Linked DNA regions of Xenopus tropicalis. The protein of the gene in region 1 interacts with the protein of each later gene in a pairwise test. Links are inferred from orthologs where the notes say so. Each region holds a gene or a part of one and is shown in the gene's direction. Other genes may lie near its edges.

Region 1 (4,791 bases):
CCTCTCACAGTCCCCCTACCTGTATGCTGCACACTATACTAGGAAATAACAACTGTCACCTTCATAGTATCAATGGAATCTGATTTTGAATAGTAATTAAATAAGCAAAGTATCGTATTTTCCAGAAATGCAGTATTGGCCTAAGCACTTTTGCCAAACCGTTGTTTTCAAAAAGAAAATATCCCATAACTCAACCAGTCCATAAAAATATAAATGTATTCAAAACTTAATGTTAAAAAGTAAATACAAATACAGATCCCATGGTGTATCTGCCTATATATATATATTGTATATATATTGTATATATGTGTATAGATGTATATTTACTGTTGAGTTACAGGATATTTTCTTTTTTATTGAATGCCTAATATGCCCTTTGGTTCTAGGGGCTATATCCCTTTAACTGTGGCCCTATTTTTGACTGGCCATTCATATATATACCATACAATTAATTAATTTTTTTGCAATGTGAGATGTTTGCCTGAAATTGACAGCCCAGATAGTATAGCTGGCTGTGTAATGGTACAGTCAAGGGCTCAGGATTGGCAACACCTATAAAGAGCAGAAGAATGTAGCCAATCCCATTTTAAACAAAAGGTATGACTGGAAATAAGCAATAAATGTCACTAGGCAAATTAACATCACTTATAAGTTCATAGCTTGGCCCAGTGGCCCGGAATCCAAATCAGTGATGGAGCATGATAAGAGCCCAAATGTAATACCATGGAGCAATCCTGGATCATAACCTTTAGAGAAAAGATCCAGTTCTGCTTGACTCGCTGAGTATTTTGCACAAGAGCAAGCAGCTGGTTGATGGCTTAGGGTCACATGAGTCTTCAAAGATGACTATTTGTACATATCCCACTACAGATATCAGGGAGAGTGTATGTTTGTTTTATCTGACCTGTTATATGTAATGATGGAATTATGTTACCTTTTTCTTACACCTTACCTACTAAAGGAGGAGTTCCCGCTTGGTAAGTCGCTGATTCCTGACAGATGTTAGGGGTTTTCTTAGATCGAGGCACCTAATAAATCTGGACTTACAGGGGAATTAAAAACCTAATAGAGAATTTACTAAGTCAGAAAAAGCTGGAAAATATCTGTATACTTTATATTACTCTCTTTTTTTTTTTTTCTTTCCGTCCTTCCCTGACCCCCAGTTAATGGGGATTTGCTTTATCTCTTTAATTTTCTTTCCTCTGATTTACACTCTGCTTATCTCTTTTGTTCTTTGCAATGGTTTTGGCTTCATTTAATTTAAAATTGTCCATGGGTTCAGGAAATCAGGCCATAAAAATCTGACCTAGAGGCTTCGTAAGGTTTTGCTTTATAAAGCCCCATAGTGTTATCATTGTGGCAAGCTGATATCTTGGTACCCATTGTCTATTAGACTCCAGCAGCAGCAAGCACAATAACAGAAGGAGCTTGTATATAGGGTGGCAGCTCAACATTCCTGTTCTCCATGTTTTCAATGCATTCTGCTAATTTATATAAGTAGCTATCTTTGAGGCCATGCATTAGTCTTTGTGTTTATATTTAGTGAGCATGATGGATTTGTACTTAAAGGTTTGCTGTCCAGGTGGCAATTTGACAATAATACTTTTACCCTAAAAATGTTCCATTATTTGAACTATTTCAGTACGCATGAATATGGGGTATAGATAGACTTGCAATGTGTCTGCTGATGTTTTTCCCACTACAATGCCAGCAGTTGGCTTTTGGCCGGATGTTTTCCTTGATTTCTTCATTATCATATTTATTAAAAATGCTTTCACTGCCAATAGGAAGGAGGTGTCCACAGCCTGTTACCCAGCATGCAATCAGAGCTCCCAGCCAGAAATGGGGAAAGCAGGGGATTGAAATAATGTTTGTATGTGTCAATTGCACACTGAGAATCCACATTTCCTACTATTCTGTCTCTTTTGCAGTCCATTTGTTTGCAAATCAAAACAATGACAGCCTTATTCCTTGAAAATGTCTTTTTTTCTATATACAGTCCTACATTAGGACTAGTAAAGCCTTACAGTATGCTAGTCATTGTGAAATTCTTATGTATATCTTTGAATTTAAAAATTTACAGACATCATTTTCACTCTGCTTTGAAATGATTAATGTGAGAGGGGACCCTCTAGGAAAAGAATTCACACTTTCATTTCATAATTTCTTTGGTGTAACTCAGACTAATCACTAGGATGGATGTGACCTAAGTAAAATTCAGTATTTCAATTGAATATTGGTAGTGAGTGGCCATTGGTTTATTAATGGAATCTGCCAAAATGATGTGATGCCCTAACGCCTTGTTATGTATTCCCATCTAATGTGGGGCATTTACTATTGTTTTTTTTTTGGTTTGTGTTTTTTGTCATGGAACAAACAGCACATTTGTTGCAATTTATTATACAACAAAACTGTGACAATTCAGTCAATTGTTGTAGAAGTCAATGGCAGTTGCCCCTTTTACAGTTGGAAGATCCTTCTTTGCTTCATGGTTTTAGAGGTTTTCAGGGTTTGTTGACACTGGCATCAGTGCAACAATATGAAAAAGTTTTGTTTTTTGCGAAACAAGTCGAAAAAGTTGTGGTTTTTGTGAAAGAATTTGAAAAATTTTTGATAAATGACTGGCAATCATGAAAATAAGTTTACTAGTAGTTTTAAAAAATATATAGAAAACCGAATGTTAATAAATAAGTGAAGTCTGTTGGGAAATGAGTGGCATATATATGTTAGAAGTTTAGGATGTGGTTGGTAGACATAGCAGCAGTAGCAGTATGCTAGGTAGACATAGCTTGTGAGGCCCACAACACTTTGGTTACATCTATTTGCAAAATAACAGAAAAGTGGAGTCATCACACAGAAGGGTGCTTATCATTACTCCTGCCAGGGAACAATCTCAATATTTCATAAAAAGTTTTGTTCAGTTGCCCTTTGCAAGAAATGACTAGCCATTATTTACAAATGAAAGGTAATTAGTTAGTAGTAGGTGCAGTAGCAATAGTCCAGCTGAATTCCTGAACTGTGCTTTTGTATACAACTTACTTATATTCAAGGATAGAGAAGTAGGACCTAAATTGTGATTTATGTGACTTCAAAAGATTTAAATGGATATTGTTCAACACTAGAGAAAAGCATCTATAGAGGAACAGAACCATGTATCTTCACATAGTGTATATGTGGCCCAAGCCGTAAATGCAGGGCTGTGCTCATGCTTGCCCTGTAAATGCTGTTCAATGGAGAGACAGTAGTAAGATAAACACTCTCTTTAGAGTGTTAATCCATGTAGGATTCCAATTTTATTAAATGTTGGGAATAGCTCCTCATACATCTATGTAATACAAACAAATGTAAATATAAATACAACCAAATGTGTGCGACTGCTGAGACTGCTTACTACTATAGGCAACATGAAGTGAAACGTGTGGAATGCAGGATTACCTCATAGAGAACCAAGAGCAGACATATCTGATACTGTTTATTATGTACGTTAACATTCACGTATGGCTTTGATAGGTGTGTTGTTTTATTTAATGTCAAGCCTAGGTCTATGTAAACACCTGTTCTGAAGTCAAAGAAAAACCTGAAAGTCAGGTCTCCACTGTCACAAAAAAAGTGTTGCTTTCTCTCTGTATATAGGTTTATTAAGCCTCAAGTGCCCACAGTGCTTAATGATAGTAGATTGCCACAAACAGTAAGAAACAGCACTTTTATACAGTGTGTGTCTCAGTAGCAATGCCAGTGCAATCAGAGTGAAAGGCCCATACATTTCAAGATACTGTGCACCTTTTCTTTTTCCATTATTCGCTGTTCCATTCTTTTTCTATGGGTGCATGCAAATATTGTGCATGGTGACAATTTCATTGCAGATATCTCATGTCTGCAGAAGCCACTGCAGACTTTTTGTTCTGTTCTCTTTTGTTTTTCTTTTCACTGCCCGCTCCTTTCATTTTCTTCCTTTATTTGTTTTATTTTAAGTTAATAAAAATATACAGTATTTCTTGAATATTACATTATCCAATTTCTGAAAGCAAAGTGGTTATTAAGTTACAATCTTCATTTGCGATTTGGGTTCAGCACGTGTCATCGTTCTCTTGTTTTTTCAGATTTCCCAATCAGTTACTGGCCTTTTGGTCTCATCAGAGAGAGGGGTTTGTCGGAAGGAAGGTGGAAACGAGTATGACTCAGGGAACGATACATGCTCTCCTCCTTCAATGCAGATAAGCACTTCAAGGCTGATGGTCAGCCAAGAAAAAGAAAGCCTACCCCACCACGGGTTTCAGCATGCCTCCGCCTCTGGGAAAACCCCAAATGGCCCGAGCGACAATATCTCTGATTCAGGCAATTCATCGGCCAGTTGCTTCTCTTTCATAAAGGACACAGCACTTCTCTTGGGAGATAGTCAGAAACAGAAGAGGTGAAGATAATGCATTAACAAAAATAACTGGTTAGGAAACCATATCTAACAGATAAAACAAATGAAATAACAAAACAAATAAATAAAAATGTACATGATATCAGATGGTCTTATGACCATCTGATATCATGTACATTTTTATTTATTTGTATGTGGGTGGGTAAAGGGGGTGAGACAATTGGTAAGGGCTCTGGCACACGGGGAGACTAGTCGCCCGCGACAAATCTCCCTTGTTGCGGGCGACTAATCTCCCCGAAATGCCATCTCACCGGCGAGAATGTGAATTGTCAGTGGGATGGCATATGTGGTGCTGCGATTTTCCCAAAATCATGGAAGTTGCCTTGAGAGGAAACTTCCGCGATTTTGGGGAAATCATGGTG
Region 2 (4,891 bases), on another chromosome or scaffold:
AGCTGCAAGGGCAAACAAGGTTTTGAGCTGTATTAAAAGGGGTATAGATTCACGGGAGGAGGGGGTTATTCTTCCCCTTTACAGAGCGCTGGTAAGGCCCCATCTAGAATATGCTGTTCAGTTTTGGTCTCCAGTGCTCAAACGGGACATTACTGAGTTAGAGAGGCTCCAGAGAAGGGCAACTAAGCTGGTAAAGGGTATGGAAAGTCTCAGTTATAAAGAAAGACTGGCCAAGTTGGGTCTGTTTACACTGGAGAAGAGGAGCTTAAGAGGTGACATGATAACTATGTATAAATATATAAAGGGATCATATAATAACCTTTCTAATGTTTTATTTACCAGTAGGTCCTTCCAACGGACACGAGGGCACCCACTCCGTTTAGAAGAAGGGAGGTTCCATTTAAACATTCGGAAAGGATTTTTTACAGTGAGAGCTGTGAAGTTGTGGAATTCCCTCCCCGAATCAGTCGTGCTGGCTGATACATTATATAGCTTTAAGAAGGGGCTGGATGGATTCTTAGCAAGTGAGGGAATACAGGGTTATGGGAGATAGCTCTCAGTACAAGTGAGGGAATACAGGGTTATGGGAGATAGCTCTTAGTACAAGTTGATCCAGGGACTGGTCCGATTGCCATCTTGGAGTCAGGAAGGAATTTTTTCCCCTCTGTGGCAAATTAGAGAGGCTTCAGATGGGGTTTTTTGCCTTCCTCTGGATCAACTAGTAGTTAGGCAGGTTAGGTATAGGCATTATGGTTGAACTTGATGGACGTATGTCTTTTTTCAACCCAACTTACTATGTTACTATATCTTGTTACAGAATTGGAATTACACAAAAATTCTACCATATTTTGAAAGCTTAGGTTGTTCTGAAAAAAAGTTACGCTTTGACCAAAACAGCTGGCAGTAAAAGGGTTAATAGTGAGCACCGGGCGTTGAATTTTTTTGGAGAGCCTGGGTGTGGGGGAACGATCTTTTTTGTGTACAAGAATGCAGGTTGGCCAGGCAATCTCAATACTAATGCCATTTAAAGCTTACACAAAAGTTAGCAGTCACAGCAGCCAGACACATGGGAGCCACAGCCCAGATGCTGCCCGCAGGCCGCCAGTTGGACAGCACTGTTGTACTAAGAATATATGATGCTGGTTTTACTTTGTGCCAAAAATTTATATTTATAACCCATTGCCCACAACCAGCTCTCTTGTCACTCACTGGATCTCATTTAGACACCATATATGTCATGAGATTTGGGAACTATAGCTCTAACATTATAACCATAAAAAGGGCGGTGTATTATACACAGATAATAATACACAGACCTATGTATATATGCTCCTGCCTTCCATTTTGTTGCAACTCACTAATGTGCTTTTAGACGACCATACACTTTGCCGTTCCCCTACCATAAGGCACTCTATGTACCCCTCAGCTGTACAAGCTGCTAAAGTTGTCTGTGCCCCCCGGCGTGCTGCATACAGGTTACGGCTCAACACCTCCCCAGCAAACCCTCACTTGTACAATACACAAGCAGTTAGTCAGCAAGTCATTTAATTGAAGAGGTTTATTTATAAGAACTCTCCTAAAGGATAAGACAGACGAGCGCCAACAAAACCAACTTCTAGGCCCCGCCCCCTAATGACGCACTACCGGAGGGACACCGGAAGTTGGTCGCGCTGATGCGAGGCGCTCGCTAATAGAATTGGGAATGGCAGTAGTGTGAGAGACAGGGCTGTATGGGGGTGCTGGGAGGCTGCCCATTCACTCGAGGGACAACATGACATCGCGTAACCCGCATGTAGTGAGCGGGTAAGCAGCGAGTAGTTGCACTATTATCGCTTGGAATATGTTAGTGTTGTATGTTACAGAATTCTCTCACGTACTACTGCATGCTGTCTGTGTATTGGGGGATGCTGGGAACTGTAGTCAGTAACAGATAAGCGACTTGCCGTGCTAGAATAATGGGGTTATTTAAATAAACTGGGCAGGTTTGAGCTTTGCAGTAACCCATGCCAACCGGTGAGATGCCTCCATAGTGTATTACCTGCAGCTTGCTGGCAGCTATGGTTGCTATGGGTTACTGCCCTGTTGCAAATGTGCCCAGTATTTATAAAGTTTAGTTGCCCTCGTCTCATGCTTCCTACATTAAGGCTGATGCCACATGTGGCGTTTTTCCACTGCGTTTTTTCTCGGCCTAAAAACGCCGCACAAGCCACACAGCCCCTGACTATGGCGTTTTTAGCCTAGTACTGGTGATGTCAGCAAATCCCGTTTCCATGGTGCTAATAGTGTGAAATAGCAAAAAACGCTGCGTATTTCCGCTAGGTCTGGCAGCTGCCTTTGTGTATACATAGGAATAGCTTGATTTGCAAATACTGGCGTATTAAAGCCAACGCATGAAAAATCCGTGCTAAGGCGTTATCTAGCGTATTTCCGCATTGTGTGGTTCACTTTGAGTCTTTTCAAGCTGTTTCTATGGATGATGATATCGGGCGTTTTTCAGCCGCCGAGAGAATTAGAAAATACACAGCGGAAAAACGCCACGTGTGGCACCAGCCTAAAGGAGAAGGAAAGGTACAATCACTGGGGCCAGAATGTGCGGCACAGGGGCTATGCTACAGATGGCGGAGATTGTGCTATAGTGCAATGAGCCTTTGCTCACTGTAGTATTTTAACCGCTGCTGTTATCTCTGGGACGGCAGAAGCAGTCAAAATAGCCTGGGTGTTATAGCCCTAAGGGCACAGTCACACGTGGCATATGGTCCGCCAGAAAACAAGTGGATCTGCTCCTATATGCAGCTACATCAAGTGGAGGTAGAAGTAAACTGTAAACCTCTTGGCACTGCTCCCTAAGGATTTTAAAACAAGAACATTAGTAGTCTTTACTTGTAGCTGGTTAGTAGTTTATATTGTTTTCTTTGTCCGTTACATACTAAATACCAGCCAGCTACAAACAGCAGCTACAAACTTGTTTCTGTTACATAAGCCCAAAATATCTGCATGCAGGACCCATGTATTATAGAGAAAGATTAAAGGGGAACTCTGGCTCCCGGACCACACAACGCAGAAACCCATAATACACCTATAACTGTAATCTGTTCCTTCAAAAAGTATAAATAAATATCATTTTTATTTGCTGAAATCCAGCTGCAAAACAGTTCTTCTTTCTGCATCATTTTTAATTGATGTATATTGCAAAGGTGCTTGAAATTATGCTTACTTGTAAAAAAGCTTAGGTCGTGCTTTGGTGAAGTTGCCTTTAAGGTCTAAAATGTGAGGCTGAAGATTATTTGTAGAAGCTCATGAAGGGGAAATCGTTTTGACCTGTGGAAAGTATCATGCAGGCTTGTTTTTAGGGTAACCAGTAAGCGAGAGAAAGCACGGTCATATGTGTCGCAGTTATTTAATGTTTTGATTACATAATAATAATGAATTTAGCATTCAACTTAATCACCTGTTTGCTAATATGCCTCATATTTTAGCCATAAACGACTCAGAGCGCTCCTCAAGAAAGAAAGGCGTCGAAAAAAGAGACAGGCCCTTGCAAAATTAAGAGAAGGTACGTTGTGTACAAAAACAGGGAGAATCAAACTGTGTAAATGGGAAGAAAGTAAATAGCACATTTTACATGCCATTTGCAAGCGTGGTTATTTAAATATTTGCCTTCATTGAGTCCATTTCTGTGGTGTGCTTTATTAATATTAAAGTGGGCTTAAAATTTGTTATACGTAAATAATATGTTTGAGAAATGTAATTCTGTTGTATGCAGTATTAAAAGCAGATACTAATTAGGCTTTTCTTTCCCCCCCCCCACCTCAATACATTTCCCTGTTACTAGTTATCTACATGGCAGCTTGGTAAACCTTTTTAAGAAGCAGCAGAGGCGTTGCCAGACATGCTGATGTGCCGGAGGAGATATACAGGGCCTGTTTATTAGCTGACGGGCATGATTACATATATGCAAGTAGATATCAACAAATGAAACTGACACACGCTCCTATGCAAATTAATAGGAACATGTCAGTATTATATAATACAGTGTAGAAAAGTGTGCCAAGCCTCCACCAAACCATCAGTACTTACCACTGCCGACATTCTTACATCGCTTTAGTTCCTTGGCATAAATACTGCACAATTTTTCAAAGGACTGGAGTACAGTTTTGCTTTGGTCTAATAAATTGAAACTCATTTTTGAAAACTGTTGAAATCTGGTTGAACCAAAACATACAGGCAAATGTTAAACAGCTTGGTTACAAATGGGCCCAACTGACCTGCGCTGTCACTGCCTACAGACAGGGGGTAGTATCCAGCAGAGAGAAAATGTTGTGTGTGACATTAGTCTTAATATTTTATTTGCAAAATACTCAGGGAAAATAAATAATGAAGGTGCAGTCCCTTATGTTAAGTTAAGACTCAACCCATAATAGTACTGTAAATTCTGTTTTTAACTTTCAGATGATAATAATGAGGATGAACCATGTTCTGAAGAAGAAGAGGATGAAGCTCAGCTTGAGATTGAAAGGTCCACACTAACCCTTTAAACGCTTTTTCAGAATGTATCAGAACACTGTTATATGTAGAAGCCAGATACTTTCCATTTGACTCAATGTTATCTGTTCCAAAGCAGTGATCTCTAAATGATACTTGCTTATACACGAGTATAAAATCCAAAACTTAGTGTGGGTTAAAAGCATATAAGTTTGTTCCGCAATTTCCATTAATAATGTCCTTTAGTGTGGCTCAGTTACAGTTGTACTTTATTTGGGGCAATGTAAACAATATTTATAAACACACACAAATTGTTATTATTTAAAGAATTTGCACCTTTGTTCTTTTATTAATTAAGAAATACAGAATAGAAAAAATATTTTTTTCCCTATTCCAGTGCTGTGTTTCC

What was found. The genes of interacting proteins can lie anywhere in the genome.
Region 2: the proteins of srrm4 (region 1) and zrsr2 interact in binary tests that used the Homo sapiens proteins (3 or more experiments, as listed by UniProt). The link is inferred for Xenopus tropicalis from reciprocal best matches to the Homo sapiens genes SRRM4 and ZRSR2.

What each region holds. Positions count from the first base shown.
Region 1 is NC_030677.2:165,782,615-165,787,405, forward strand, and holds part of srrm4 (serine/arginine repetitive matrix protein 4), read left to right. Parts: intron 1-4,100; coding exon 4,101-4,411; intron 4,412-4,791. UniProt on the Homo sapiens protein: Splicing factor specifically required for neural cell differentiation.
Region 2 is NC_030678.2:29,871,389-29,876,279, forward strand, and holds the start of zrsr2 (U2 small nuclear ribonucleoprotein auxiliary factor 35 kDa subunit-related protein 2), read left to right. Parts: upstream 1-1,635; 5' UTR 1,636-1,771; coding exon 1,772-1,803; intron 1,804-3,476; coding exon 3,477-3,553; intron 3,554-4,449; coding exon 4,450-4,516; intron 4,517-4,891. UniProt on the Homo sapiens protein: Pre-mRNA-binding protein required for splicing of both U2- and U12-type introns. Selectively interacts with the 3'-splice site of U2- and U12-type pre-mRNAs and promotes different steps in U2 and U12 intron splicing.